Linked DNA regions of Alligator mississippiensis. The protein of the gene in region 1 binds, or shares a complex with, the protein of each later gene. Links are inferred from orthologs where the notes say so. Each region holds a gene or a part of one and is shown on either strand. Other genes may lie near its edges.

Evidence for each region.
Region 2: SPTSSA (region 1) and SPTLC1 share a complex: the UniProt entries of both Homo sapiens proteins name them as parts of the serine palmitoyltransferase (SPT) complex. The link is inferred for Alligator mississippiensis from reciprocal best matches to the Homo sapiens genes SPTSSA and SPTLC1.
Region 3: the proteins of SPTSSA (region 1) and SPTLC2 are in contact, whole or in part, in a cryo-EM structure (PDB 7K0K), measured with the Homo sapiens proteins. The link is inferred for Alligator mississippiensis from reciprocal best matches to the Homo sapiens genes SPTSSA and SPTLC2. Residues at the interface, in NP_612145.2 of Homo sapiens: Trp15, Tyr18, Gln19, Leu21, Leu22, Val23, Thr24, Ala25, Tyr27, Met28, Leu29, Glu30, Pro31, Trp32, Glu33, Val36, Phe37; in NP_004854.1 of Homo sapiens: Leu73, Gly77, Val80, Leu81, Phe84, Leu87, Arg88, Leu91, Leu126, Arg129, Ile130, Tyr156, Met475, Pro476, Ala477, Lys478, Gly480, Ala481, Arg484, Glu485, Asp533, Leu534, Leu535, Gln536.
Region 4: SPTSSA (region 1) and SPTLC3 share a complex: the UniProt entries of both Homo sapiens proteins name them as parts of the serine palmitoyltransferase (SPT) complex. The link is inferred for Alligator mississippiensis from reciprocal best matches to the Homo sapiens genes SPTSSA and SPTLC3.

Annotation. Positions count from the first base shown.
Region 1 is NC_081825.1:256,230,160-256,237,262, forward strand, and holds the start of SPTSSA (serine palmitoyltransferase small subunit A), read right to left. Parts: upstream 3,005-7,103; 5' UTR 2,948-3,004; coding exon 2,845-2,947; intron 1-2,844. UniProt on the Homo sapiens protein: Component of the serine palmitoyltransferase multisubunit enzyme (SPT) that catalyzes the initial and rate-limiting step in sphingolipid biosynthesis by condensing L-serine and activated acyl-CoA (most commonly palmitoyl-CoA) to form long-chain bases.
Region 2 is NC_081826.1:213,094,623-213,101,663, reverse strand, and holds the start of SPTLC1 (serine palmitoyltransferase 1), read left to right. Parts: upstream 1-4,030; 5' UTR 4,031-4,080; coding exon 4,081-4,140; intron 4,141-6,891; coding exon 6,892-6,999; intron 7,000-7,041. UniProt on the Homo sapiens protein: Component of the serine palmitoyltransferase multisubunit enzyme (SPT) that catalyzes the initial and rate-limiting step in sphingolipid biosynthesis by condensing L-serine and activated acyl-CoA (most commonly palmitoyl-CoA) to form long-chain bases.
Region 3 is NC_081825.1:263,321,074-263,328,583, reverse strand, and holds the start of SPTLC2 (serine palmitoyltransferase 2), read left to right. Parts: upstream 1-4,497; 5' UTR 4,498-4,512; coding exon 4,513-4,671; intron 4,672-4,680; exon of another isoform or gene 4,681-4,722; coding exon of another isoform or gene 4,723-4,830; intron 4,831-7,510. UniProt on the Homo sapiens protein: Component of the serine palmitoyltransferase multisubunit enzyme (SPT) that catalyzes the initial and rate-limiting step in sphingolipid biosynthesis by condensing L-serine and activated acyl-CoA (most commonly palmitoyl-CoA) to form long-chain bases.
Region 4 is NC_081824.1:221,269,854-221,277,227, reverse strand, and holds the start of SPTLC3 (serine palmitoyltransferase 3), read left to right. Parts: upstream 1-4,370; 5' UTR 4,371-4,614; coding exon 4,615-4,719; intron 4,720-7,374. UniProt on the Homo sapiens protein: Component of the serine palmitoyltransferase multisubunit enzyme (SPT) that catalyzes the initial and rate-limiting step in sphingolipid biosynthesis by condensing L-serine and activated acyl-CoA (most commonly palmitoyl-CoA) to form long-chain bases.

The DNA.
Region 1 (7,103 bases):
ATACTAAGCTTTTTGAAGTATACATTACAGGAAAACAAAGTGATGGAGAAAGACTTAAGAGTACAAGGGAACATAAAACAACAGCTCTGCTGTATCAACAGACTCTCTCCGAGCAGACCAGATGCAGCCTTCATAAAAATTACTGATCTCTTAGACAATCAATGATATATTCAGCTTTGGAAAAGGTTTTTGTAGCAAGTCTAGGAACTTAATTTAAATACCTGAAGAGATTTCAACACCTGAAGAGCTTTTAAATTTCTAGAACACTGGTTTAGACACAGCTGAGGTCAATCTCAACATGCATCTGGCAGTCATTCAACAGCTTATATGAAGTAAGTTAACAATGTCAGGCAGTACCTGTCCTAAGGGGTCTAAATCACAATCAGCCACCTTACTGAAGTAATTAGAGAGACCAAGGCCTGAAAAAGGATGGCGGCCAATATAGTATTCTCCCCCAAACCACCTCATGTCCACTGGAAAAATACCACAAACTAAATTTTTTCCAAGTTTCATGTGAAGATTTGCTGTACCATGGGCATTCTTCCTTTTTAAAATGAGGTTAGACTCTAAGCATTAGAAATTGCATTTCTCCAGATGTTAAACAAGCTGCAGCTTGCTCACTCTAAGAAAGTTTACAGTCATTGCTAAAGCAACAAAAGGTGATGGGCAACTGCAACCTAGAATAAGCAGCAATGACATAACTGCAGTAAGAACAATGGAAGGTGTTTGTCAAATTAATTTTAAACTATAAATATCTTAATAAGTTACTTAAGTTTACTACATATTTGTCCAAAGAATAAGGAAAATGTACATATTTTTCATTCGCTCAAACATTTTGCTTGCATCACAAAGAGAAGAAGAGAGTCAAGCCCAGCTACTGACAAAGTATGATGTGCATATACTTACTAAAGAAAGATGTTTCATCACTAACACTTGTAATGATATAGTACTCTTTTGCACACTTCCTATGCAGTCTACTTTGTTGCTTCATTTTCATAGTGAACTAATCAGTTTTCCCTGTCCTTGAAAGTATCTTGTGAGCAATTTTCTTCTACAGAAATAGAAGGACGCTCCCACTTAACAAACAAGTGAAACAGACATCATGTGGATGTATGTGAACCTAACAGAAAATCTATCTAATGGTCTGAAGTCTATCTATATGCGGTCCATTTTTTTAGATTTAATGTGGTTATATAGCTGCAACCTGTTTTTTGTTTTTTGGTTTGTTTGGGGGGGTTTGTTTTTTTCATTTGTTTGGTTTTGTTTTTTTTAACTAGAGGAAGCATTTTTGTAGACTGTCATCCCAATAAAGACATCCAATTAGTCAACAGAGGAAAGATTATGGGTGACAAGATGACATTTTCTCCTCCCCTCCCTGCTTTTTTTAATAATACTTAGCGCAAATGCTTTTAAAGGTCATTAAAGAGCAACTTGTAATAATAAAGTGTTATTCTAACAAAGGATCACCTAACTGCCTCTGTATAAAAATTCTGGACTAAGCCCTGAAGAAGATAGCACAGCACTCTCTAGGAAGAAATGAAAACACGGGTCTCTACGTAATCATCATGCCAGCAGAGTAACTGCAGTGAATTACACAAGACCAGTGAGTTTACCAAAGACAGCATAAAGAGTGATGTTGTAGCCACACTAGTCCAAAAATCATGAGAGAGGTACCGATTTCTTTGGGCTGGTTTGGCTAGGGTTGATCCTGCCTCAGGCCCTAGATGACCTCTGGGGGTCCCCTGCAGCCCAACTTCTCTATGACTTATCTTTTATTGGGCTATGTGGTTGGGATAAAGTCAGGCAAGCTTTCCAGTGCAAGGTATTCTTCCTCAGGTCTCTGAATACAGGAAGCCAAGCACAGCAAGCTGAGACCAGCACAAGAGAGGGGCTGAGATCAGCTAAGACATGCTCAAGGGTAGCAGCCACACAGTGAGCAAAAGAAAGCCAGAGTACTGGAAGATCAACAGCTTTTCCTTTGCTCCTTGTGGGGCTGCTACCCCCAAACACTTCTCTCAGCCCCTCCCTTATGCTGTAGGGAGCTTGCTGTGCTTGCCTTCCCATATTCCAAGACCTGACAAACAATGTCTTCCATAAGAAAGCTTGCCTGACTTTATCCCAGCCACATAGCTGGCCCAATAAAAGATAAGTCATAGAGAAGTTGGGCTGCAAGGGACCTCTAGAGGTCATCTAGGTCCTGAGGCAGGATCAACCCTAGCCAAAGCAGCCCATACAACCACGATGTAAACTCTATGCGAGACTACCCTCAACCCCGACACAACACAAACCAACCCAACACCCCGACCTGCTGCAGTAAGGCAAGGGAGCCACCAGCCAACATCCCACTTGTTTCTTCCTGACCCCAAACATGGGGGATGGTCCGGGCCCCAGCAGAGGGGCAAGACCCTCCAGCCAGGAGCCTCCAGCTTTGCTCCCAGCAGCACAACCGGGTCAAGTCCCCCATCCTCCCCTCCCGTCTGTAGGCAGCACCCAGGCCGCCGGGCCGCTGTCAGGCAGAGGATGACAAAAGAAAACAAAATCCCAGCCGGAAACCCGGGCTCGCGAGGACAGCCGCCAGCCCCCCCACCCCGCCGCCTCCGAGGGAGAGACAGAGGCCGGCGGGCAGTGTTGCGGGGCCAGGCGGGCAGAGCCCAGGGCCCGGGGCCTCGCGAGGCGCCTCTCTCCCGCCCAGGCCGAGGCAGCGGCGGGGCTGGGGCCGCCCTCGCCTGCCACTCGGAGCTCGCGCACCTCCCCACCTCCAGCCCGGCCCGGCCCGGCCCGGCCCCGGCGCCTGCCGAGGCAGCGCCCCCCCCAAAGTCAGCGCGCCGCGCCGCCAGAGGATACTGAAGACGGTGCGCTCCCAGGGCTCCAGCATGTAGAGCGCCGTGACGAGCAGGTACTGGTAGTAGAGCCACGACACGCGCTGCCAGGCCGAGCCCAGCGCCATCGCGGGCGCCTCCACCGACTGCCCGACCTCCTGCGCGTGCGGCTGCCACTGCGCCGCCCCCACCCTCCCGGCCCGGCCAGCGCCCCGCCCCCACTGCCCCTCCCAGGGGGCGGGGTCACTGCAGTCACGCGGCCCCGCGGCATTGCACGTGGCCCCAGAGCAGAGGTGGTCACCCAGGGTGCCTGGAGAGGGGCACTTCCCGGGTTGGCCCCAGGATTCACGGGACATACCGCACTTAACCGGCAGGGGAAACACTGCGTATCTGGGTGCAGGAAGGCAGTTTTCCTTAAGCGGCCCCGGGATAACTGTTCTTCAGTACCGCCGGGGTGTTGGGGTTAAAGCCCACTTTATGGAAATGGGAGGATCCTGGATTTGGACTTGATTTGGCTGGGAACATGAAAAATTTCTTTAAAAAAAGAAAATTCACATAGTAACCCATGGCGTTCAAAGCCTTCTGGCCTGTCTGAGGTGTTTGCAACAGAAGACTTGTTCTAACACTTTCCTGTAGTCAAAAACACATGAAAACTAAGGTGGCAATTTCCGTGAAGTGCCTCAAGCCTGAAAAGGTTGAGAATCACTGCCCTAAAATATCCCTAAGCATCAGTAAAGGGCTCTCCTGTCCATGCCAAGTAGGGGGTTCCCCTATAAGTATTGGGCAGGTTCTGGTAGATACAATATACAACACCTTGCCAGTTTCTAAGTGGGACCCTTGCATCTGTACCATAAAGATGTACAAGTTGTAGCAATATTAAAATTGGCCCCCACCTTCCTCATGGGTTCCTAAACACTGACAGGTCTCAGGTGACGCATAGGGGAGACCGGGGTGGGGGGGCGGCACCGAGGCACGTGCCTTCCCTCCCACCCCCTTACAGGCTGGCACTGCCGGCGCCTGCGGGAGCTCGCCAGCTCTGCCTCTGCCGCCAACAGTGGCACCTGCGGGTACCCCCCGCAGGTACCAGTCACCCATGGGTCTCCTCATAGTTTTATTAATGCCCTGAAACCATAGGTACCACTCTGCAACAGGATGGAGAGAGACTATATAACACATTAGACTTCACTTCTTTTGAAAGGTCTTAAAGAACCAGAGACTACTACAATTGCAGAATCCCCAAGACTTGCTGTTGGCTCACCCAGATTAGGTTCCTCTGCATGTTTCTGCAGCTTCCACTGATTTTTTTTAATCCGACTAAAGGTGGAAGCAGCATGAACATGGTGCTAACTTTGAATATAATATCTGCCCTGGGTCAGATCTGTGTAGTCTTGTGTTACTTCATTTTATATCATCCAAATTAGCAATTTAATCAGACATTACAAAGTATACTGGAAACCTTTGAGGCCAGAAGGCAGCTCCTTGGCCCAGGTACTTAAATCCCCTGGCCTAGGCTTTCCATATACTCCTGTATCTGCAGTTATTCTACATGCCACCCCCACACTTCCTGACTGAACAATAATCTTTTCTCACAATTGATTTGCTTAAAAAATATGGCAGCTCCTTCAGTGCTAGCTATCCAAGCAAATAAAGACAGGTAAGAGTCAAGTATTCATGCATCTCAGAAAAACAAGAGTACAGATCTAGGACCTAACCATGAAGGGAAAATAGGTTTGGCAGATAGATTTCCAATACAAAGGAACAACTGAATACTACATTAGCATATATGGTAGTACCTGAAAAGGAGGTAGATTCTACCAGAATACTAGCACGTATGGTTAAGACTCGGTTCACCCATGCAAATTTATTTCAGTGCTTGAGGAAACAGTAGAGGGTCAAAAATACCAGGCAAAGGTTCCCAAAAGAAACTTGTCCAGTGGATGCTAAAGAGGATGCTCAGCCTGCAGTGAATATGATTAAAGAATGCCTATCAGCTAATGAACAAGAAGATAAAATTGAGAGTCCAAGGCCCACCAGGCCAAGTCCAGTGAAGCAGCACCAGAGCCTATTCATACTACAGTAATGCATGTGATAAACACACTGCCTTTCATAGGACCAGCAAGTAAAGCATCCATCCACTGAAAAGAATGATTGTATAATTACTCTCAAGCAATGGAAACAACTCTCCCAACTTTTTCATTCAGTCATTAAGACTGCTAAGCAATGTCCAGAGAACATCAACACTTTTAAGAGAAGGGAATATAAACATTTTCTCTCCCCGAACTGTCTTAGTGTAACTGCTGCTTGAGATGACTCTTATGCTATTGCTGCTTGAAAGGCTGGCAAACTATGTGGCTGCTGTTAGTGAATTTGAAAGCACACTTTTGTAGTAAAAAAAAAATGAGAGAAGCAAGATTTGTTTGGTAATATCTTTTATTAGACCACATACATAGGTGAGAAAAGATGTTAGACCAATTTTCAGGCACAAAATGCCCTTCCTCGGGTACATAAGAAACAGATACAGCCTAAGCTAAATACCAGGCAGAGCAATTACTTTTGTTTAACCCTATTATGTAAATGAAGCTATCACTTGAAAAAAGAAAAAGGGAGCAAAGGGAACTGGCATTATGAAGCAAACAGAACTGGCATTTACTCTGTGAAGCAAACAGAAGTTATCAAAAGTAGTTACAGACCAAATAAAAAGAGTTGAAATAGATTAACCTGAATATGTAAAAAAAAAAAAAAAAAAAAATAAGACTGTTGTTATTACCTGTGAAGTACAGAGGAGTTAGCAGAGACCCAGTAAATTAAAATGAGCTATGAAACCATTGTGTTAAGGTCATGCTTTGTAGTGTCCAGTAGTTATGAATTTCTGTTACTAAGCCTCTCTCTACTTCATCTGAGCGAAACCCAGCAATCTCACTCCTTTCATGAAGCATGGTTGCAGTTAGGGACTGGATGAAGTGAGCCAGCTGAAGCTGAATGCAAACAAGACAGAAGTGATGGTATTGGGCAGACCATGCAATTTTGGGGGGATTGGGACATCTATCATTGATGGGATATAGTCTCCTGTTGTCACTCATGTTTGCAGCCCTAGGGTACTCTGGATCCTCTCCTGCATTTGGAACTTCAGGTGACAGCAGTGCCTAGAAGCACCTTTTACCAACTCCATCTGGTGAGAAAGCGGTGGCTCTTTCTTTCAGATTCAGATCTGGCTACCATCATCTATGCCTTTGTAACCTTGAGGTTAGACTACTGCAACACACTCTACATAAGACTACCCTTTAAGACTATCTGGAAGTTGCAGTTCATGCAGTGATAGCCCACCTAACAGGGATGGGCTTCCATGAGCATGTAACTCCAGTGATCCAGTCTGCACTGGCTCCCAATAGATTTCCAGGTATAATTCAAGGTGCTGGTTTTGCCCTGTAAGGCCCTAAACATATCCAAGGGACTGCCCATGCACCTAACTGCAATCTCCAAGGTCAGCTGAGAACAAACTCCTACAAGTACCATCAATGCACCAAGTCTGCTTGGCAAAAACATTTGGCATGTTATTCTCAGCAGGTGCTCCTCAGCTCTGGAACTCCCCCCATCTTTTGGTATGCCAGAGCCTGAGCCTGAACATCTTTCAGAAGGTGCTGTAAGACCTTTCTATTTGGGCAAGTGTTTAACAGACAGAGGTAGGCTAGGATATTGGTTAGAGCAGTTCTGATTTATCTTAATGGTCCAGTTTGTCTTTTAAGTTATGTTGTTCTCTTGCTTATTCTCCTGCTTTATAATTAATTTTGTCCTCTTATTGTAAACAGGTTGAGTCTTTGTTGGGAAGAGTGGCATATAAATCAAATCAAATCAGATAATAAATGAACCAGGTAAATGACTGTGAGAATATACTGGGCAACATAAGGCCTGATATGTAAGCATATGAAAGTGCCAGTGGACTAGAGAACATACCACAAAACCATACACTGTTCATGCAATTATTTGTCAGGTTTGCAACAGGGAAGCCAATATAGCCTGCAACATCTGTGTATAGTTCTGGTACAGCTCCTAGTTAAAATATAATTAAAAACCACAAAAGTAAGTGAACTATCCAATAGAAGCTGATTCAGTGCACAATAATCAACACTATTGCCAAGTAATACTCCCTTCTGCTACAGCTGCAAATGATTTTTCTCATGTATATAGCATAGCATAGATAAGGCAGTGTTTCCCCATCAGTCAGTCAACCCAAAGGGACCAGAAAAGGTTATCAGGAAAGGAATATAGCTAAGTAAATCCTGCTCC
Region 2 (7,041 bases), on another chromosome or scaffold:
CTAGAGGCTAGTTTGAGTGGGAGGACTATCCACCCCTCTTGTTGAAGCAGTGCAGCAAAATGTGAAAGATTCATTGGCATAGAGAGGGGATTGTGTCTCTGTTACCTGTAGGGTGACCACCCATCCTTAATTAGGCGGGACAGTCCCGAAATGTAAACATCAAGTCCTGGTCCCAGGCTGAATGACTCCCAAGACAGCATTTGTTCCAGACTCCCCTCAACACAATCTCAACATAGCAACTATCATCCCAGTATCGTAAGCATGGATCTGGGTTTTCTGTTTGCCATGGAAAAAAGTGGATTTTCTCCTCTGAAGGTTTCCCCTTGCAGGTTGGCAGAGTTTCAGCCTGCAGGGGGCTGCTTGGGGCTGGGGGGGAGTGGGACACAGGGGATGCGACATGCATGTGTGTGTATGTACACATGCTCATGTCCAGCAATTCATCCAGGTAGCAGTGGAGAGCAGTTCCCCCAGCTGCCTTCAGGTAAGTCTATGGAGGGACGGGGCATAGGTGATGTGGCAATGGGGGCAGCTTGAGGCCCCCAAGGTTAGGGAGGGAGGGGCAGGGTTGGTGGCTGGGACTGGGAGCTCTACCCAGCTGGGGTGGTGCATGGGGCATAGGACCAGGGCAGGAATGTGTAGCTGCAGGTCCTGGCCAGGGAGCAGGACAGAGCCATAGGTGACTCATCTGGAGGGCAGTGTGGGGGCTGACTCTCCACCGCTTCATACACTCCCAGGGCAGGGGGCATAGGAGAGCTTGTGCCCCACATCTGATGTGTGTGTGTGGCACAGGCAGATGCAGGCTGCCTGCTGTGGGCTTGGGGCTCCCCATCCTGCTGCGGGCTTGGGGCTCCCCATCCTGCTGCCCTCCCCCAGTGGGTGAGACCCGGTACAGAAGGGCAGTGTGGATGGAGCGGGGAGGCTCGATGTCCTAATTTTGCATTTTGAAAAGGTTGTTGTTAGAACATTTACCTATTTAAGGCACGAGTCCTAGATCCTGGTTTCCGCTGCCACAATGGTTCATGCATTTTATAGTCAGTCACTGGATAAAATATGGAAATATTTCAGGGAGCAGGGGCCAGACCCCATCTCAGCCACTCCTAAACATGAGGCTACAGAGATCCTCCGTGACTCCTTCCTGGCCCCACACATCTAGAAATCTTTGCCACACAGTAACACAGCTTCAGCTAAAGCTTAGAGTGTTCCCAACCTGATTAACCTATAGCCTGGTTCTTAGGACTCTCTCCTGGGAGGTGAACTGTGTAGATTTGAATACCCTCAGACTAAGAGCCTAGGATCCAGACCTCACAATTTCTGGGCGAGTATAATTGCTGTCTAGTGGGTGAGCAGTCATTCACTTCTAAAGTGGACAATTTAGGTGTCCAACTCCAAGAGATTGTTCCAGGTTGCAAATCCCAACCTGACATAGTTGCCCAAACACCAGAGAGGCTTGGGATTTAAGACACCTCTCTCTTTCTCAAGCATTTCCTACTGGCTTGCTACCCCCTTGGCATGCTGACTGTTGCAAATTCTATTGAAACACCTTCCTCCCCACATGCACCATATAGTAAGCTGCAATACTAACCCAGTGGTGTTGACTGTTCCAGGGACCAATATTTAAAAAATAAGTGGTGACACACATATCCCTTTGCAGATCTAACTCTCAGTGCATACCCTGAACAGGGAACCAAGTTGGCTACATACAATAGGACTCAACATCCCAAGCACTCAGTTGAGCCCTCCTCTCCACAAAATCATGAAGTTACAATAATGTCAGGGTTGCTGTAGTTTATGCCAGTCTATCACTACCAAAGAAGCAATTATGCAGGTGAGCCACTGCTACTAGGCAGCATATGCTGACCAGTATGCCTCCTCCTTGCAATCTACTCCCTGTTCCTGAGGAAGCTGAGTGGTTAGTCAGACCCTCAGTTGCCTGGTTAGGGCAGCTTTTGGCCACCAGCGTTTGCCCAAAGCTACTTTATTCAAGGTTAGGGATAATCCTTGCTTAACAAAAGTAATGTGTAGTAGCAGAGTTTCAGATTATATTAGATTTAGTCTTCAGCCCATTTAAATGATCTGAACAGTAAGTCACTCTTCCTGCTATCAGTAGAGTTGTGAAATTTGAGATTATATTTATTTCTTAAGACTCATTCATTCTTTGCAAACAAGTGTCCTTCTACTATTATTATGGAAATGTTGGCTGTATGCCAAAAGTAACCTCCCAACAGAGTTAGGACATCTTTGAGTAGAGTTAGGACATCTTTGTGCTCAATGCCAGCATCTGCTTGGCTGAATGCCAAACTTTCAATTGAACTCAATCATAGGGTCTACAGATTAAGTTCACTCCTCCTCTCGGTCACTGCAGATTTGTGCTTTATCTTGGCAAGTTTGAAGAGAAGTTGGACAGACTACTACAGAGTCTTATGCCACGTCTCCTTCCTGTATGCCAGTTGCTTAGCAAAGTGCAAATTTAAACTGGTTCAGTTAATATTAGAGGCTGCAGACAGAAGCGCAGCTGTGAGCTGTAACTCGGAACGAGTTTTGCAAAGCATTTTGAGTTATAGCGCTACCCCTACCCCAGACCAAACAGAAGTTCACTATTGGTTCCAGTGGGGGCCTGCAGCCAAGTTCCCACAGTAACCGCCAGGGCTCTCTGCCAAACACGAGTGCATGGCTGCAGACAGCTTCAGGTGAAAATCTGACCCTCCCCATTGAATGAGGTATCAGATAAAGATGTTTCAAAATGCATCATCTTTTGTAACTTGTCTGCCCTGCCTCCCAGCCTGTCACTGTTTTCCTCATGCAATGAGGGGTCAGATTTTCACTGGAAGCCGTCTGCAGCTGCGCACTTGTGTTTGGCCACAGCTATAAACTGTTTTCTGGCATCAGATCAGGCAAAAATTATTACTTGTCTGCACCCAGAATCCAACCCTAGTTGTTTTTTCCCCCCCCTTTTTTTCTAAACAGTTCTTATGGCAAGGTGCATTTTGCTGGTTATCATTGGCAACTGGTGCCACCTGAGTCAGGGGGGGCATCTGCCTCCCCCCCAGTGACCAGTCAGTGACCAGAGGGGGGTGGGGACCGGGCCATGTCCGATCTCACCTATGGGGGGGAGGGGAGTCCCCCCGCAGCCAACTGCACCACTTGGGAGGCAGCCGCGGTGCTCCCAGAAGTGACTGCGGCGCTTCATCCAGTGCTCCTACTCCCCAGCGGACACTTGCGGGGATGGGGGGGGCACCGGCGCTCTTGCCTGCCTGTCGCCTAAGCAGGGAGTGCGGCCATCAAACGGTACATGCCCTACATGTCACCTCTGCTGGTTATGAGCAGCTGACCCTGTTGAAAGTTAATAACCTGCCAGGTGAATCCCTTCACAGCTGGCAGGAGATGCTCTTTGCCATCTCCTCCCAACTCCAGGTCCTTGCAGCCATCTGCCTCTTCCACAACGTACCTGCTTTTGAATCGATCACGATTAACCAGTGCATTTGGGGGGCTGGGCTAGCCATTTTATCCTGTGACAATTACTTTTGCACCCGTGGCTGCTTTAAACTTATCCCGTGATGAACCTGTGACTTGCGTAATACCGACCACACATTACATTTATCACGTGACTGGGGAACCAGGCAGTACATTTAGACCGGCCACAGGTGCAAAGCAATGGGCAAAGGATAAATAAAAAAACCCACCCTAGCCCAACCAAAAGAGCCGCTGAAGGGGTGACGAGGGCTTTGCAGGGGTAAAATAAACACAGTTATTGCGCGACTGAGCAGCTAGCTACGCTATGTAGGTGAGGTTTAGCAGGAGCTTGAGGGCGGCGGCAGGGAAGGAGCAGCACACGGAACCGGCCGACTAGGCTGCGCTGCCCCGCCACGGGGACCGTTGGAAGCATCCCAGATCAACACCCGCTTACCCCGGCCTGAGCCTTCCGTCGCCTCCGGACAATGGCACCTCCCACTTGGGCGGGGAGGGGGCGTGGCCCCGGGTTCCGGTCCCACCCTCCCCTTCCTCCGCCTGCCGCGCTGTGCGCATGCGCGCTGGCTCGGCGCCGGCGCACTGACGAGGGAAGGAAGTGGCCCCGGAAGCGGGATGGCGGCGGCGATGGGGCAGCAGTGGGTGCTGGTGGAGATGGTGCAGGCGTTCTACGAGGTGAGCGACCCCTCCGCCCGGGGCACGTGGCGTCGGCCCCCCTCCCCTCACGCACTCGTCTGGGGCGGGGGCGGGGGCGGGAGCGGGAGCGGCGTTGCTTGGGGTTGCCCGGTGGGTCCGCGTGCGGGCATCTCGTGGGGAGGGCATCGGGGTGCTGGGGTCTGGGGGGCAGTAGAAGTGGGTGCTAGCGTCTGGGGCAGCTGGATCTGAGTGCTGGCACCGAGGGGGGAATGTATATAGGTGCTGGCACCTGGGGAAAAATGGATCTGGGTGCGGGCACCTGGGGGGGACCAGACCCTCCTAGTGCCACCATCGGGGGAGGGGGGCGTGCTGCATGCTGTCACCGGGGGGGGAGCAGCTGGGTGCTAGCATCTTTTGCGGGATGCAGTTGGGTGCTGGCCCATGGGGGAAATGGAGCTGGGTGCCAGCATCCCAAAGTGGGCGGGGGTGCCTCTGGGTGCTGGCACACCAGGGGATGGATCTGGGTCCCGGCATCTGGGGAGAATGGATCTGGGTGCCTGTGTCTGGGGGGGCATGCGTCTGGGTGCTGGCACCGGGAGGGGGGGGAGCTGGGTGCTGGCATGTGGTGGGCATAGATCTGGGTGTTGGTACCAGGGGTGGGGGGTGGATCTGGATGCTGGCCCCTGGGCAGGGGTGGATTTGGGTGCTAACTGGGGGGGATGCATCTGAATGCTGTTGTCTGCAGAGATGGGGCTGGGTGCTGGTGTCTGGGGGGAGTGGATCTGGGTGCAGGGTTATTGTTGGTGGGGAATTCCTTTCCTGCAATTTTATGTCCATTGGAGAAACAAGGTTGTTTTTTTCAGTGGGAGGCACAGGCCCAGGGTTCAGAAACAGGCTGAGGAGGTTGTTACCTCTGGGCTCTGATCCCTTGTGGAGTAGGGATGCAGCTAACTTGCTTTCTGAGGATGGACTCTTACCTTCCCTACTGGCTATGAAGTGAGAACTTCTCCCTAGAGAAGCAGCAACAATGGCGCCTCTTATTTTAATTAGTGTTGAACGCTGCTCCCTCATTTCTGTCTTGGTTATTTCTGAAAGGCTCTTTAAGACCATTTAATAAGAAGCAGGAATATACAGTTTGTATCAGAAGGTCGACATGGACATGTTTTTACTTGCAGCTGGCAATTTTCAAAGCAAGTTCTCTTTAAGTGAAGCACTGAGATGCTTTAAATTTTTTTGACTTTGGAACCTCCTCCCTGCACAATCCATGAAAAAAAAAATGTATTTACCTCTGTGATTTTAAGTCTTATTCTGATGACTTCAGGTTAGAGGAAGATTGCAGTTGCAGAATAACTGGTGGCAAAACGTGTGTACAAAATACACTTGGATTCCTAGGAAGTGTCATGTCACTTAGCTGATAGGAGGGGGAGCTTCCCTTTTAATTTTTTCTGTTCATATTTCCTTGCCAGTTTGAATCTGTAGTCTCTCAGCTGTTAAGAAGTAAGGCAAGTTCACTTGCACAGTTCTGTGCTGCAGTAACTATCCTGAGAACAGTAGCTGAACTAGCTCAGATATATATATGCTGTAAGTGTGTGCAAAGCAGGCCCTATTCAGTTCAGATTCGGCCCAAATCAGGGACCGTGTTTCAATTCGTTGATTCAGATCACTGTCCCCAATTCAATTCGGCCAAATCTGAATCTGAAGATTCAATGCTGATTCAGAGAATCAGCGATTTGGATATAGACACAGCTTTAAATGTTTTTTCTGCATACCTCGAGGTACCAGCATGGCTGGTGAATGCTGTGATGCTGGGGCACCTGGAAAGTCCTGCAGGAATGCGGGGGTGGGGGCCCTCCACGTGCTCAGCAGTGAACCCAGAAGTGGACCGGAAGTATTTCCAGTCCACTTCCGGGTCCTCTGGGGAGTGCGTAGGGGGGGACCCCGTGCTTCCTTGGCTTGGTGATTGGTCATAGGGAGACCCTGGGTGTCCCCCGGCCCAGGAGGCACCAGTCGCTGAGCCAGGGCGGGCGTGGGGGTAGCCCTCTGCATGCTCCTCAGTGGACCTGGTCCACTTCCGGGTCTCCTGCCGAGTGCGCTGGGGACCCCCCTGTGCTTCTGTGGAACAATCCATGCACCCCAGCATCACGGCATTCAAGAGCCGCCTGGTACCTTGAGGTACGTAGAAAAAACATTTAAAGCTGTGTCTATGTCCAAATCTTCAAATCTCTCCAAATCAATTTGGAGAGTTTTGATTAGATTTGGAGAGAGTAAATGGTCCTTTGATTCGATTTGGAGATTAGGCCACCAGACTGGGCCGAATCTCTGCCAAATCAAATAATGGCTTTGCACAGCTCTAATATGCTGTATTGTAATATACAGCTTAGCTTCATGGTTGAAATAAGTAATGTTCTTCAAATGTTAATTTGCATCATTGTGATGTAACATGCAATACAGAAGCCCTTACTGCAATCTTTGTAGGGGTATAATAGCTGTGGATGATTACTTCCTTTGCTTCTGTGTGTGTGTTACTTTCCATTTCCTTCATTTCTTTTTCATAGAAAACTGTAAAAGACTTTGGAAATGGTTACATGGAGTAGGTATAAATTTTGTTTAAACATAATTGTTCACAACATAACTTGCTAATACAAAATAGTTAAGTCAGTGTTGCTATTGTTCTTTTATGTGCTGCCCTTTCTAACAGAGGCTTACGGCAGCTTACAAAGAGAATGCAGCTATTACTAGCATAACCTATTCCAAGTTAATATTATATAAACATTATTTTTTTATGTGTAGGCTCCGGCTTACCACCTCATTCTGGAAGGAATTCTCATCCTATGGATAATAAGACTACTTTTCTCGAAAACTTATAAGCTTCAAGAACGATCTGACCTCACACCTAAGGTATGTTGTAAAATATTATTTTTGATCTTCGATTTGTTTTTT
Region 3 (7,510 bases), about 7.1 Mb from region 1:
CTCCCGGCTGGAGTGCTTGGCTGGCTGCAAACCTCTTCCACTCCTGGCCAGCTGCAACCCCCCCCCCCCCCAGCCAGAGTGCCTGGCTGGAGAGTACCCAAGCTGGCTGAGGGAATGAGGAGGTTTGCAGCCGGCCAGGCACTCTGGCCAGGAGGAGGGGTGGGGTTTGCAGCCTCCCCTGCTCCTCAGCCCCCAGCCAGCTTGGGCACTCTCTGGCCAGAGGAGGCAGTTTGCAGCTGGCCAGGCACTCCAGCCAGGAGCAGGAAGACTGCAAGCCCCCTCCCCCTCTCCCTCATCCCTCATCTGGAGTGCATGGCCAGCTGCAAACCCTGGGTTGCAAATGCTGCACTCCCCACTCTGCTGCCCTCCTGCAGGCCCTCCAGAGCACAGCATGTGCGACTAGCGCAGCAGGGCACAGCAGGGCCATGCACGAAAGCTGCTTGCCACTGCAAGCTCCACACTGCCCTGGCCACACTTTCTCTGTGTGCATGGGGACAGCACAGGATTGTGTCCCTCACTGCTGCCCCCGTCTGCAGAGGAAGTATGACCAGGGCAAAATGGAGCTTGCAGCAGCAGGCAGCTTTCATGCACATCCCCCCCCCGTGTGCTGTTGCACCGGGTTGCACACACTGAGCTCTGGAGGGCCTGGGGGAGGGCAGCAGAGTGGGAAGCATGAGCCTGAAGCCTGCACCGACCCTTCCCCCGCCCAGAGGTCCCCCCAGCCCCCCAGCTCCCCAGGAGTGCACAGGTCCCCCCAGCCCCCCAGGAGTGCACACTGCCAGGGGGAGTTTACCCCGCCCAGGCCTGCAGCAGGAAGGCAGCAGGGGGGGAACTGGCTTGTGCTCCTGCTGTAGCAGCTGCTGCCTTCCTTTGGGGGCAGAGCTGGGGGGCAGGGGCTGCAGGTGGGGGACAAGGGGCACAAGCAGGACTGGAGGGCTGTGGGCCGAGGGCAGTGAGGGACACCAACAGGGCTGTGGGGGGCATTTCATTTTAACCATGGATTTTGTGATTTTTATCAGAGAATTTGTGATTTTTTTATTGCGGAAAATCAGGGTCCCTGCTGATCAGAAGTGAGCCACAAGTGGGGCCCCTCCACCAATCAGTAGGGGGGAAAGGTATGGGGGAACCTGCAAGATTAAAGGAGCCACAGTGCACCCCACTTCTGCCATGAATTCAGTAGACCTCTAGCTATAACAAACAAAAGTAGTGAAAGCAGCCCTCTGCCCCTTTAAGAGGGCAAACCTTCCTTCACCCCTTGCATTGGCATACCTCCCGGCCTGTGCTCCCTGTGCACTCCCTGAGCCTCTGTGTTCCCACAGGCAGCCTCTCACCCCTGGGCAGCTCCTAACCCTGCAGCCAAGGTTAGACTATGTTGCCAGCCCAAGCCCCAGGCTTATATGCTCCCAGGGCCCAGCCTACTTCTGGTCAGCAGGCTGCCTGCAGGTGCCTAGTAATTGCCTCCCTGGTCTGTTGGCGCAGCAACCTGCACTTGCTGCCACAGCTGCCTGACTGGACTGCTTTTATCTTAAAGGAACAAGGAGCCCCGGGCTGTCTTACAAGGGCACGAAAGCAATGTCTGGTTCCACCCTATCTAGCAGTGTGGTTGGCCTGCAGAGCTTTACTATTGTGAGTCCCTAGCCAAACCCCAGGGCTATTTTCTCCCATACACGGTGCACTATTTCTCTCTTACATAGACATTTCAGTGACTGACCCACTCTTCTCTTCAATTTGACATTAATTTCTTCATTAACCCTTTGGTTTCTATAAAAGATGCCTCCTTTCAGCTGCTGTCCCATCTCTCACATTCTCTTCATCTGGAAGGGGGCTCAGAACTCTGCTGTGTTCCCTCCCCCACCACACCTCTTGCCCGCACATTTTCTGAGCAGCTATCCTGGTCCTTCTCAACACAGATGCTGAACACAGACATTCCCTGCTTTCATTGCAGCTTCTCTGTGTTTGACTTCCTGCCTGAGGAATGTGAGAGAGGAGATGGCTCACCCCACCAACGGCAGCGAGGGAAGGAGCACAGCCAGTGGGGATGGCAGATACATGTCACCTGGGGTAACTGGAAAAGTATTTCCACTGGTTTTCCCAACCCAAACCCAGCTCTTAATTCAGGCCTGAGAGGCCATGAGAAGCTTGAAAAGGGTCCAGAGGAGAGCCACACACATGGTTAGAGGACAAGAGAGCAGGCCTTATGAGGAGAGCCTGAGGGACGTGGGACTTTTCTGCCTGAAGAAGCGCAGGCTCAGGGATGACTTGGTGGCAGCCTATAAGTATATAAGGGGTGTGCATCAGGAACTGGGAGAACGTCTGTTCACCAGGGCACCTCACGGGAAGACAAGGTCTAATGGTCACAAACTGCTGGAAGACCGTTTTAGACTGGACATAAGGAAAACTTGTTTACTGTCCAAGCCCCCTGGGCCTGGAACAGACTTCCCCCAGAGGTGGTGCAAGCACCTACTCTGGACACTTTCAAGAAGCACTTGGATGTCTATTTTGCTGGGATCCTTTGACCCCAGCTGACTTTCTGGCCCTTGGGCAGGGGGCTGGACCTGATGATCTTGCGAGGTCCCTTCCAGCCCTAATGTCTATGAATCTTTGTGAGTTGCCAGCCTGCCACACAGAAACCAAGCTTTGGGTTGGGCAGGACGGGGCCCAGGCTCCTTTAGGAGAGCCCCTGATTGCAGAGGTGTGTGGTTTGGGGTGAATTGAAAAGGATTTTGCCTCATAATCCCAGCCTAATCCCAGGTTTTTTTTCCAGGGCTATGGATTTGAAACATGATATTATTGTGTGTCGAGCTGGCTGGCAGTGACCTAGCCCAGGGGTTTTGAAAAGGCAAAAGATGATTGGAGGATTTGGGATTCCCTTTCCTCACCAATCTGGTAATGATTTGGCCCAGGGGTTTTGAAGGGGTAAAAGATGATTGGAAGATTTGGGATTCCCTTTCCTCACCAATCAGGCCCCAGAGACTCACCCCTCATGTCCCCTGATTGGCCCCTTGGGTCACCTGGAGGGGGATAAAAGGGGCAGCACAGCTGACTCAGGCAAGAGACGAGTGAGGGACCATGAGGAAGGAGCTTCAAAAAGCTGAGCCAGAGGGGTAGAAGCAGGCAGTAGTTGGACCCTTAGCAGCATGGCGTGTGACTGGCAGGAGAAGCTTCCTGTTGGGCTCCAGGATCCCCTACAAGAGGCTGTGGCCAGCAGGAGAGGCTTCCCGCTTCAGCAAGAATCTGAGCAGCGACCTGAGGGGTTCTCAGCTCAGCTTCCAGCTCCTCCAATCAGAGATCAGGCTGCTCAATGTGAGGCCAGGGCTCCAGGAAGGTCAAGGCCCCTAGCAGCTTGAAATAGTCCTAGTACTGGTAGCTGTGTGGCAAGTGTTTGTGCCTACCACATAGGAGATCCAAGTTCAACTCTCAGTTTTGGTGACTTGGGGTGAATGACCTACCAAGGAAAAATTCCTCTTGCAATGGAAAGGGGCCATTGTGTTTTCCATTTTCTCCCTTTCCAGGTACCTAGGCCCTATATTTCTTGGTCCTTTGACATTTTGTATTTTGTGCCTTTTTATATTTCCCCAACCAGTATTGTTTGCTCTGTTTGTTTTATATTTTGTTAAACCTGACTTTTTATCAATGATTGTAAGTGTCTAACCTTTGTTGAATACTGCCCCCTTGGGGCATTGTAGTGTCCACTCTACCCGCTGATTATGCCTGTTATGTTCCCAGTATTGTTCTCTCATTAAAAGGTATATGGTTAAGTCCCCAGTGGTGGTCTGGCTCTGCTCTATAGGGAAAGGAGAGTCCCTACACCTCCCACAGCACTTGTGCACCTGCTTTGATCCTTTCAATTGGAGAGGGGTACCTTATGGAGTACCGCCTGGGCTACAATTGTATAAAGTTATTAGTAAATACACATTTTTGATGAAATCCTAACTGTAGCAGGTGCAATTAATTACTAACAACTTTTCATTGTGTAAAGATTTAACTTTGCAAAACGAACCAAAACCGGAAACAAGGAACCAACTTCAGCGTGGTGAGCCATGGAGAATCCACCTTGCCCCGGCCCGCGGAACTCCCCTTCAGTCATGGGGCCCCATGGCTCATGCGGGTTTGCCAGGCCCCAGGAGCAGGCGGTGGCCAGGATGAGCCGGCCCCCGCGCCCCCCTTCCCCACTCCCGCCCCGCTTCTCTGTCGGCCCGCCCGACAGGGGGCGCTACAAGCCTCGAGCAGTCCCGCGCCCACAGCGGTTCAGAGCGCACCCGGCTCACGCCCGGCTGCCGAACCCGCCCACCGCTGCCTCTCGGCCTTGTCATTGGCTAGCATTTATTTTGGGCTCCGGATCCTTCCTCGTCCTTTCTGTTGTCACTGGCCAAAGCGTCTTTCGCATCCCGCCCACCCCTACGCCTTCGCCTTGCGACTGGGTAGGCCATCATCTCCACCCAGTCGGTTCCCAACCAGATGATTGGGCCCCTCCCGCCGGCTTTCTGCCTCGGGATTGGGCGTGCCTCATCGATGACTCGCCCTCCCTCGGCCTGGGACACCGTAATCTCATTGGGCGGCGGGCCTGAGGCGCCACCGCCTCGCTCTGGGCGCCGCCGACACTTTCAGGGTTTCGGGGGCAGCGGTCACGCCCGTGGTGACGTTGCCGCTCGCGATTGGCGGCGCGCTCGGGTAGGGCTTCCGGTGCGGGGCGGCAGCTGCAGCGGCGGCGGCGGCGCGAGGATGGAGCGGGCTGGCGGCGAGGCGCGCGCTAACGGCTGCAGCGTCGCGGCGCACGGGGCGCTGCGCAACGGCTACGTGCGCGGCCTGCCCGTTGTGGCTGGCACACAGGTGCGCGGGGCAGGGGTCCGCGCCGGGGCGCGGGCAGCTTGGCTTGGGCTGGTGCCACGAGGCCCCGCGCTCCCGGTCGGGAGTGGGCCTCCCTCCCTCCTTCCCCCTTCATACCGACATGATCAGGTCGGGCCAGGCCCCGGGGGCGTCGCTGAGATAGGGCCAAGCCCTCGCCTGCTGGAGCCCTGCGGCCCGTCTCCTCCCCCGCCTCGGGGCACCCGGGCCGGGCTGGGGCAGGCGCACGTGGGCGTCTGTTGCAGCCCCGGGTTTGGCCTCAGTGGGAGGCTGTGCCAGCTCCCCCCCACCGTTGGGTTGGCACCGGGGCCGTGGAGGAGGAAAGCCATGAGTCCTTCCAGTGCAGTGTCTGTTTGCCTTGTTGCCCTGGTGTTGGTATTGCGGGCACCACCGGGTACATCAGGTTGTCCCCAGGTGCCCCCTGCGCTAGGCAGCACCACTGCCTTGTGAGGACCGTGTCAGCTGGCTAGAGCCAGTGCCTGTCCAGGTGTCACTGGGACTTCGTGGCTGTAGCAGAGAGTCCTGTTGGCTACTGGTGCGGTTCTTATGCTAAGGTTAAAGTACCAAGTGTGGCAGCGAGTAGAGAGCTGGAGGGTTAAGATGGATGTGAGAAGAACTCCTCTTTTCAGGCAGATTGAGCTTCTCACAGCCTTCTGCGGGAAGCAAGAGGCATCAACTGGCACATCTTGTGCAGTGGTTCTGATGTGTTCTGGTGACGTCCTCCCCAGCCCCAGCGTACCTGTCTTGCAGGAGGGAATCTGTGATTACCATGCTGACCAGCATCAACCAGGAGGAAGGACTGTCATTACTTTAGTGTGGGAATACGTGGAGTGTCTTTTCTTGTTAAGGGATGAGATTTAATTATGTACCTGGCAACTGTCATCTTTCCTCCGAATGCAGCTGTAGCTGGGGGAGAATGTAGGAATTGCTTAACAGTGATCAGCAGTCATGTAGTGATTTTGGAACAGAAAGCAAAGGATTTGTCAGCATCAGCTAAGTGAAGTTGCTGATTTAAAGTGCAAATTGGTGAAATGGACTGAGAAATGAATTAGGAACTTATGGGCCTTTTGCTTTCGGTAGAAAGGAAAAGTAAGGGAAGCTAGAGAAAACGATAGCTGAAAATAATTGTTTCTGCTTTGTGATGCCTTAGCCACAGTGGTTCTCAGCCTTATTGGATTCCAGGTACCCCTCCAGAACTCTTGTGAATTGAATGGCATCCAACTTCAAAAACTAATTATTCATATTTCAGTTCTTGCCTCCTTATACAGGGCCTGGGCAATAAGTGCAGGGCATCATCCAGGCAGGGACAAGCCTGAACTTGGCTTATCTGCTTAGCTTACCTGCATATCTCCCCACACTTCATGGTACCATTGAAAGGACCTAGTGGGACCTTGCAGTGCCCTGGCATCCTGGTTGAGAATCTTTGCTTTAGCACTGTGACTTGTGGGACTACATCTCTACATTCAAGGATAAAGCATGACCGAACACTTTGCTAGCGTGTCTACAAAAATAAGTTTATATAAGACTAATTAAATGGGGAAGTTTTGGGGAAAGGTGTGGAGGTGATGTGAGAAATGATCATGGTAATGGCAGGCACTTTGCCCATCTAGAGTTGCCAGCCTAGCAACTCACAGCCCCTCAGGCCTGAATTAGGAGCTGGGTGTCCCTTTCTTCCCCAGCTTCCCTTCTGTGCTTTCTTTATGGGTTTTGTTTGTTTTAGCTTATGAAGTTTTGATTTGACGTGTATGGTACCTAGCATAAGGAGGCCTCACTGTGCTGCAGCAGTATAAAGAATGTTGTATGATTTTAAAAATGTGTGCGTGCGTATGCTTGCTTGTCCTATTCAGTAGTTCATTTTTGAGGGTGTTTTAAAGGGGATGGCACAGTCTGTATTTTGGGACACTTGGGTAATGCTTTTGGGAGGGGTTTTTGTGGCCTGAAGTTAATGAGGTAGAGTTGGGAGAAATGTATCCCTTTAATTTAGGCAAGTGTTGTTCAGAACTGCTGTTCAGGGTATTCCTGGCAGTTAACAGTGCCAGAGGAAGTAAAATGTATTGGATGTACTTTTCCAAATTGTTTTATTCCAGAAGGAATCTTTATTTTACAATATCAGAATTGCATCGGCTTCATTATGTAAGGGTGACTCCAGACTTCTGTTGCTATCAAGACATGCAGAAAGAATCATAGGATGCTAAACAATACAGCCTTGTGTTCCCTTCTATGGTTTGCTTGGCTTGGGGTTTGTGAAAGGCATGAAGTTCCCTTTACTTGATTTTCTTTAAGTGGATATTATGCTGAAGGAGGGGAAAATGGTAAGCTTCTTGGTATATATAATCAGTAAAAACTTTTAGTATGCCATTTTCCTAAAGGCACACTTTGGAATGAAATAATTAAGCTGAAGAATTCTAACTGGAATACTTGTTATTCAGTGGTGCTCTGTACTAAAAACAGAACAAAATCCCACTGGTTATTTCAGCTTTGCAAAATTGTCATTTAAAACTTGCTGACTCAAGCACAGTCTTTCTGCCCATGTTTTACTGCAATGGGAAGAAAAATCTCTGATGTTTTACCTGTTAGAAGTGGGTGGGTGTACTTGATGGCATTTTGCAAAGCTGAGACCTGTTTGAAATAATGATTCAGGTTCAGCTGCAACCCAACAATTTTT
Region 4 (7,374 bases), on another chromosome or scaffold:
GAGAGAGAAAAATAGATACACACAAATCCATATAATGGTCCGCAATGGTGGAAGAAGTAGGTCGAAGCAAGTGTCTCAGTCCATATAGAGTCTCATCGCAGGGGTCTTCTTCAGGTGGAGCGGGGTGATCCATTGCTGAAGAGTCCTCTCAAAGTGAAGTCCATCAGGTGCAGAGGGGGCTTCAGGTGGTCCCCTCTGGGTCCAGTCCGGCGGCAGTCGGTCTGGTGGAGTCAGAGTACTAACAGTGGCCCGTGATGTGCTCCACGTAGATGTCGCGGGACCAGCAGATTGTGTCAGACACCATGAGGCAGCGCATCAGCTTGGCATAGTGGCAGGAGATGCGGCAGGCATGCAGGACGCTCTCGTTGCTGGGGTCCCAGGCTTCAAGCGTTCCCACGCTGAGTGCGTCGACTGTCACATCATAGCTGCGGCCCCTCAGGATGTTGGCCAGAGAGGCGTACTTCTCCCACTTGCGAGCCTGGGCATTGGTGAAGATTTGGCACTGGTTCTCGAAGGGGATGGTCACATCCATGATCACAACCTTCTTGGCCTCTTCCTTGGTGATCACAATGTCAGGGCGTATCTGGCTCTCGCAGCCTGGGATGGTGCGGTTCACGGAGATCTCTCCCACTGCGGCTGGGATAGGCGTCATCAGGCAGTCCTGGACAGCGTTGTGGCAGAGCCGCCAGGCTAGCCTGCAGCCGCACAGCATATGGGGGAGGGTGTCTGCCGCATAGCCACACCATTGGCACCTCTTGTCCTGGTGGCCAAAGCGGACAGCCCCGTTCAGAGGCAGGCAGTTGAGGCGGGCACAATGGAAGAAACACCAGTCCACGAAGTGTGTGAAGCTCCTGCTGGGTATGAAGTGGTTGCTGGAGTCCCACTTCGAGGTGATGTCGAAGACCTTGCCCTGGTCAGGTTTGGCCCTCAGGTCACCGGCATACTTGTTTCGGATGGCATCCTTCAGGAACTGCTCCAGGAAGGTCCTCATGTGGGGCATCATGGTAACATGGTCGGCATGCGGGGCTGGTTCAAGGGAGACTCACAGCTCCCAGCACTCCTCGGTCCAGGTCCAGGTGCAGCCGATGCACTTTCTGAGGCAGCACCTGGTGTTGCAGGCTCGGCTCCACAGCAAGGCAAAGTCCCCACCATCTCTGCCGAACTCACCCTCTAGCAAGCCACTGAGGAAGGTGGCCAAGTCATGTCCAGTCGAGTGTCTCACGATCCTCTTATAGGCGGTCTCCTTGAGGGTGCTGGTGGTGATACTTAACGTAGGGTCCGGCAGGTCAGGAGGCAGAAGGCGTGGGTGACCACTGCAATGTCGCAGAGGTCTCCCATGGTGGGGGGCATTGGCACCTCCCTGCCAGTAGGGGATGTGCATGATCTCGTTGCTGGCCCTCAGCGGCAGGTGCAGCCACTTCTTCAGCAGCCACCGGATCTCAGCGTCCACCTTCTTGAGGTGGGTCTTGGGGACACATGACATCTATCATGTCACCTAATGGAAGGTGTCTCAGATACAATAGTGAAAATATAGAATATTCTGGCCCAAATGCAAGCTCAGAAACAGCAGAAGAGTTTGTTTTTGGCTCTAAACAGTGCCCAAGGACAGCATATTTTCTTAGGTCAGTCATACAACAGAGGTCTATGTTTGCTGGTACCTCTTATGAAGCAACTTTGTCAGGACACTAGTTTGCTGGTAGGAATGGATGCACAGAATGACTTGTGCGAGGGTTTGCTTGGCACAGGAAGAACAGGTGTATTTAATTCTTGTCAACTTGTCATAGCACTCATTTATGTAGGATACTACCAGTGATGCATTTGCAAGGAAACTATAGGCTATTACTAAACTTTTATCCTTAATCACTCTTCCTTCCAAATATCCAACTCTCAGCCACTTACTGTAACTAAACTCAATCATCCCATCCTCGCACACTAACAATTACCCTATTAACAAACACTAAAGATACCTGTTTGACTGGCCTGATGAAGACAATACAAAAGATTGAAATGAGGCAGTGTTGTTCAGTATTGTGAGGCAAAAACCAGGAACTGAACTGTATTTCTGACTCACTGTGTGATTACATTTCCTAATAAGTTCTAATAACACTTATTATAAGTATTACATCATTCGGCTATGGGTTTTTTCTGTAAGAAAGGTTTTTACTGTCCTACTAGTGCTGGGGAAGTAGGTAAAAGGTTGCTTGTAAAGAAAAAATCATACTTCTGCAGGAGGGAGGGTGGCTTAGATATTTGCTACTTTGTGATATAACACAGACCCTGAAGGAGTGCTATTTTTGTACTGATTAGTGACCTACTGTGAACTATATGATCAGTTGGATAGCTAGCTAGTAGGATTCTGATGTATCACAGAAGTGAAATCTACCTAATTGAAACAAGGAAGTGAGTTTGAAGGCTAGAATTAGGGGCTTACAAGTAGCAATTGTCAATCTAAACAAGTGACTTTAGGGAGAAAAGGTTTCTTTGTTAATGATTCCACACTGATCCTCATCATTCCACTTAGTTACAAAAAGTCCCAATACAAAATTGGATCCTTCCAAGGAATCAGAAAATATGGTTTGATATTCCTGATAGTTAAAAGGACAAAATAAAACCAGTACCATTGAGGCTTTCCTTATGTATTATGATGAAATAAAAGATTTCAAAACCCTTGTTTCATGATTATTTTCCTTTGTAAGCTACCTAGAAAGAGGAAATATGGTTTAGCATTTTAGCAAATAATCAAGAGAAGTCAGCCTGGTGAAAACTGGTCTACAGCAGATTTACAGTCTGGTTAATTTGATCTTTATTGCCTGTGTTTGCTTTGCATTCTCAGGCGGAACTGTGTTTTCCGAATTGTAACTTACATCATGCTGCTGAGATCGGATAGCAAGTTCTTATTCTATTTTTAACTTTTTCTGCTTAAACACTTCAAAGACCTCTACTGATTAGCCTTCAGTCTTTAATTATCTTTGTAACTCAGATTTTCTTTTAATCTAACCCCTTGTATAGAGTGTTTTTATTGGAATATACACTCACTTGTGTGTGTATATTCTCATCCCATCTCATACAACCAAATGTCGATTGTATATTCTGAACATCTAAACTATAAGGCCCTTATCCTGCAAAAACACGCTTAATTTTAAGCCTACAGTTATTCCCATTCAGGTCAATGAGCCCCAGCCCTGTGAGTACACATGAAACTAATGCCATTTAGGCCTACATGTAAGTGATTTGGGGTTAAATTTAAAATAAGCTTATAGCCTTAATCAGGAGTGTCAAACTGGGCTGTTCCCCCAATCTGGATTCAGAAATGGTGGCAACAGCAGACAAGCAGTAGCAGCATGGAGGTTAACAGGCCATCACTTCCCTCTCTCTTTCCCTCGCTGCTGCCAACACATCTCCAACAGGGCTCTATATTCAGGAATTCGGCACCTTGGCAACAGTCTCCAGTCCTGAAATCCCAGCCCTTTCAGGAGCCTTGCAAACTGGATGAAACAGCTCTGCAGACTGGATCTTTAACATTCCTGCTCTAATTGGACCTAACTTTTACAAGACTTTTTTTTTACTTCAGTAAATTCAAATGCATAGCAGTTTGTTATATCCTATTATTGGCAAAGCTCAAGCAATTAAGCCCTCTCTCCTAAAAGAAAAGCCATAGACCAACTGTAATAAAAGTTTGTCTCACTAAAAATGAAAGACTTGATTCAAGGTATCTTGATGATGAAAATATAATAATAGTTTTCTTTTGAAGGCTTAATCGTCATGCTAAAGGTTAGCAGAAGTCCCACTCTCCATACACTTGTGAATTTGTTAACTGCTGTGTCATTTTGATTTCAGAAGAATTTTTCACAGTATTCAAATTAAGCATGTGTTTAGGTGTGTGCAGGACTGGGGCCAAAAAACTCTTTGCTAGCCCCAGACTCTAATACTAATTAACTTCTGAAACCAGGACTAGATTACTCTTAAAATTCATCATCTACCTGTAGACAGTCTTACTGCCCCTTTTCTGTACATTCTTAATGCTGTGTCTATCAATATATTGATTTAGGAATTTTAAAAAAATCATGCCTCCTATCCCGACAGTCAAATACTACTTTTTCCAACACACATATTTAAGGAAGCATTAGAATTGCACAGCTTTCCTTACTGTTTTAATTTTCAACCTTTTACTAATCCACTCCAAGCAGAGAATAATCTATCACTTCTTTGAGTGTAATCTACAAGAGACAGGGATTTAGATGGCAGTGTATCTTTAAGTGTCTCCACCTCTCAATCCACCCACTTCCTTGATAGCTGCAGCAGTCTTGTTGACTCACATAAATACCATGTGTATACAGTAGCCAGCAGGAGTAGTGCATTTTGGAGTTCTTAAAAGCAAAGTAGTACCATGTATTTGACTTCCTAACTCACTAGGGCTGAAGGTGTATAAAGGTAACAGTTTCTTTTAGTTTCTAAGATCTTGCAGAAAGATAGTCCCTCCTCTCCTGGAAAAGCCAGACTAACCAGTTAGATACCTTTCTGGCTTTAACACATGAGATTTTATCTTCTCATCCCACTGCCTTTTTAAAGTAGAAAGACCTCAGGCACTTACGAACTGAAGATCATACTAAGCAAATGGCTAATCCCAAAGCTGTCTGCAATGGACATTACCATCAGAAACAGAATAACCTCTTAAAAAGTGGAATCTATAAGAAAAATGGAATTGCTAAACAAATTAAGGTAAGGTTTAATTTCCTGAAGTCTGCCAATCATTGAGATGAACAGTTTTAAACTTATTTAAAGGAATGGATTGTCACTGAATGGATATTACAGTATTGTCTTTATGTTAAGCTTGACACGTGCAGCATGAGCCTGTATTCTTATTAACCCCTAAAGTTCTGGTTGAAGTAAAAAAGATATTTGGGTGTGTAGGCAATAGTATTGATCTAACTAGATTCTGTTCTTCAGATCAGAAACAGAAATATCTCATTTACCTGAAAATTGTTTAAAGCCTTTCTGTTGGCAGAACTGTAGAAATGTATCAATAACTTAAAGCAAAAGGGTTTTATCCTTGAAGTGTATGTGGAGTTTTATTTTATTATGATGTGTTACTGTTTAAGTGCAATGTAAGAAAAAACAAGAAATAGGAAGGAGATGCTTTTTTTACCTGATGATTCTATTGTTTGTTATAAGGTTGGCATAGTGTCTAGTTTACTGGGGCATGCTCTATAGGCTTAATAATCTGTCCTTTTTATTTACATGTTGTTACAGTGTTAGCTGCTCTTTAAAAAATAAGTTAGTCTACAGGAAATTCTCTCAAGCTGTTTCTTTTTTTTCCTGCATCTTTGAAAGCCATCTCTCATTGACCCAAATGCCTGACTATAGCTCATTTGATGTTTGTAGTTTCCCAAAAGAGAACCCCAAAACTAGAGCGGCTCTTTTGCAAAAGAGAACTCCAAGCAGAAAATTATCTTTATGCATAGAACATTAAAAGCTGTCTCTATGGAAGAGCCCATTACTATTGGAAAAATCTTTTGGCTCTTCAAATTCAAGCTGTGCTGGCTTTGAGAATGCATATGAATTGATGTAACCAACACTTCAGTTGGGAACAGGAAAAGATTGCCTTTAAAGCTGGATGCTTCACGCCTCAACCACAACATCTAGCAACACTAGCTTGTGTTTGAATGCTTATCTGACAGTTTATTAACTTAAATTGTCTAGTCCTAAAACTTTAGACAGTGCCTATGCCTGTTCCAATTGCCAGACTCAGATGCATCACAAATAAGCTCTCATCTTGAGTCTTTTTCTCCTAATGGGAATCTCATGCTTTCAGCCTGTTAATTAAGGCACACCCAATGCAAAGGTTAGTTAGTGATTGTCTGGCTTCAGGACTCTAGCATGGGTGGCTCCTAGTTGCTGGCCCAGCCCATGTGTGGAAAGATGATGGCAAGAAAGCTTGTGCAATGAAGGAAAAGTCATATCATGCTCCCAGGAACCATATCTGAAATCACAGTCATCACTTTGGATATTAAAAGTCATGCTGTTTATCCTGAAATGTATACTTTTAGGACCAATCACCAATATTCCAGTTTCTATTTTATCAACCTGAAATAGTTAACCTACTGGGAAAAGAATGAAAACTTGTGACAGTAGTAATTTCAGAGGAGAGAAAAAGATTATATAGTAATAACAATGTATTTATTATTATTGCTGCTGCTGTTGCTACTATTAGGATTGTAGCTAGAAAAATAGAGAAATGTGTATTTGACAGTACACAAAAAAAAAAAATATAGGCTTGTGCTGGAGGGGGTGGGAATGGCCTTGAAGGGATAGTTAACTGATCCATCCACAAATCGTTGTGGAATAAAAGGAGACTTTATTTTTCTTTTGTGGTACAGACACATTATATTACAGAACGCTTAGATCTTGTAACACTCAGAGATAGGAAAGCATCATCCTCAGTGTAAACTGGAAATGAATGGTTGAATTTTTTATTCCGAGGTCATCACTGAACTTGTAAGTGTGCAGGTCTCCTGATTCTCAGTCTGGTGCTCTATTCACAATCCCAATCTCCTTCCTTCACTTCTTGCTTGAAGCACAGATTGGAAGGGAAAGGAACAAAAACAGGTGAGAGCTCATTCTTGTTTCTGCTAGGAATCTGCCCTTTCCTGTCTGGTCTGCCTCTTCACTCTCACCTACCCCAACCCAGTACATGATTTGTTATTTTTGTTCTATCTCTTTTTCCAGATATTTGTCCTCCACACATGGAGTGGCTTCCACTCCGGCTTTATCTGCCCATCTATCTATAATATTTACATTACCACATCAGTGTATTAATTGAGCACCTCACAGATTTCAGTGTATTGTCCCTAGCAAATATCTTCCTTAAATGGAAAAACACTTTAAATGGAGGGGAAATTAACGGACAGAGAGGAGGGTAGAGCAGAAACTGAACCAAAACCAGAAACAAAACACCCACACTTCTCTGCTTGACTATTCATGAATGAATAGTGGGTGTGGGAGTGCTCAAGTTACCTACTACTTTTCTGTAGTACAGAGCTTCTGTTACTGTAGCTAATCAACAGAACTCCACCATGAAGATGTAGCATATGCTGACAAAAAGGAGCTTTCAGCTGATTTAGCTACACTGCCTCCAACAAAGCCCTTCTCTATCTGCAGAACTGTATCTATGGTGGGGGCTTAGACACCCTAGTGTGGTTCTGTTCCACCCTACTTGAGTCCCTGAACAACAATAAATGCAAAAGGTAAATGGGTTCTCGCTGCTTTTTTGTGACCCAGGGCCACGTCTTGCCTGTGCCACAAGGAAGTGGCAAAAGTTACAGCTGCAACCGAAAAGCATGCAAAGGTGACTCCAACCGGCAGCTCTCTCCTTTC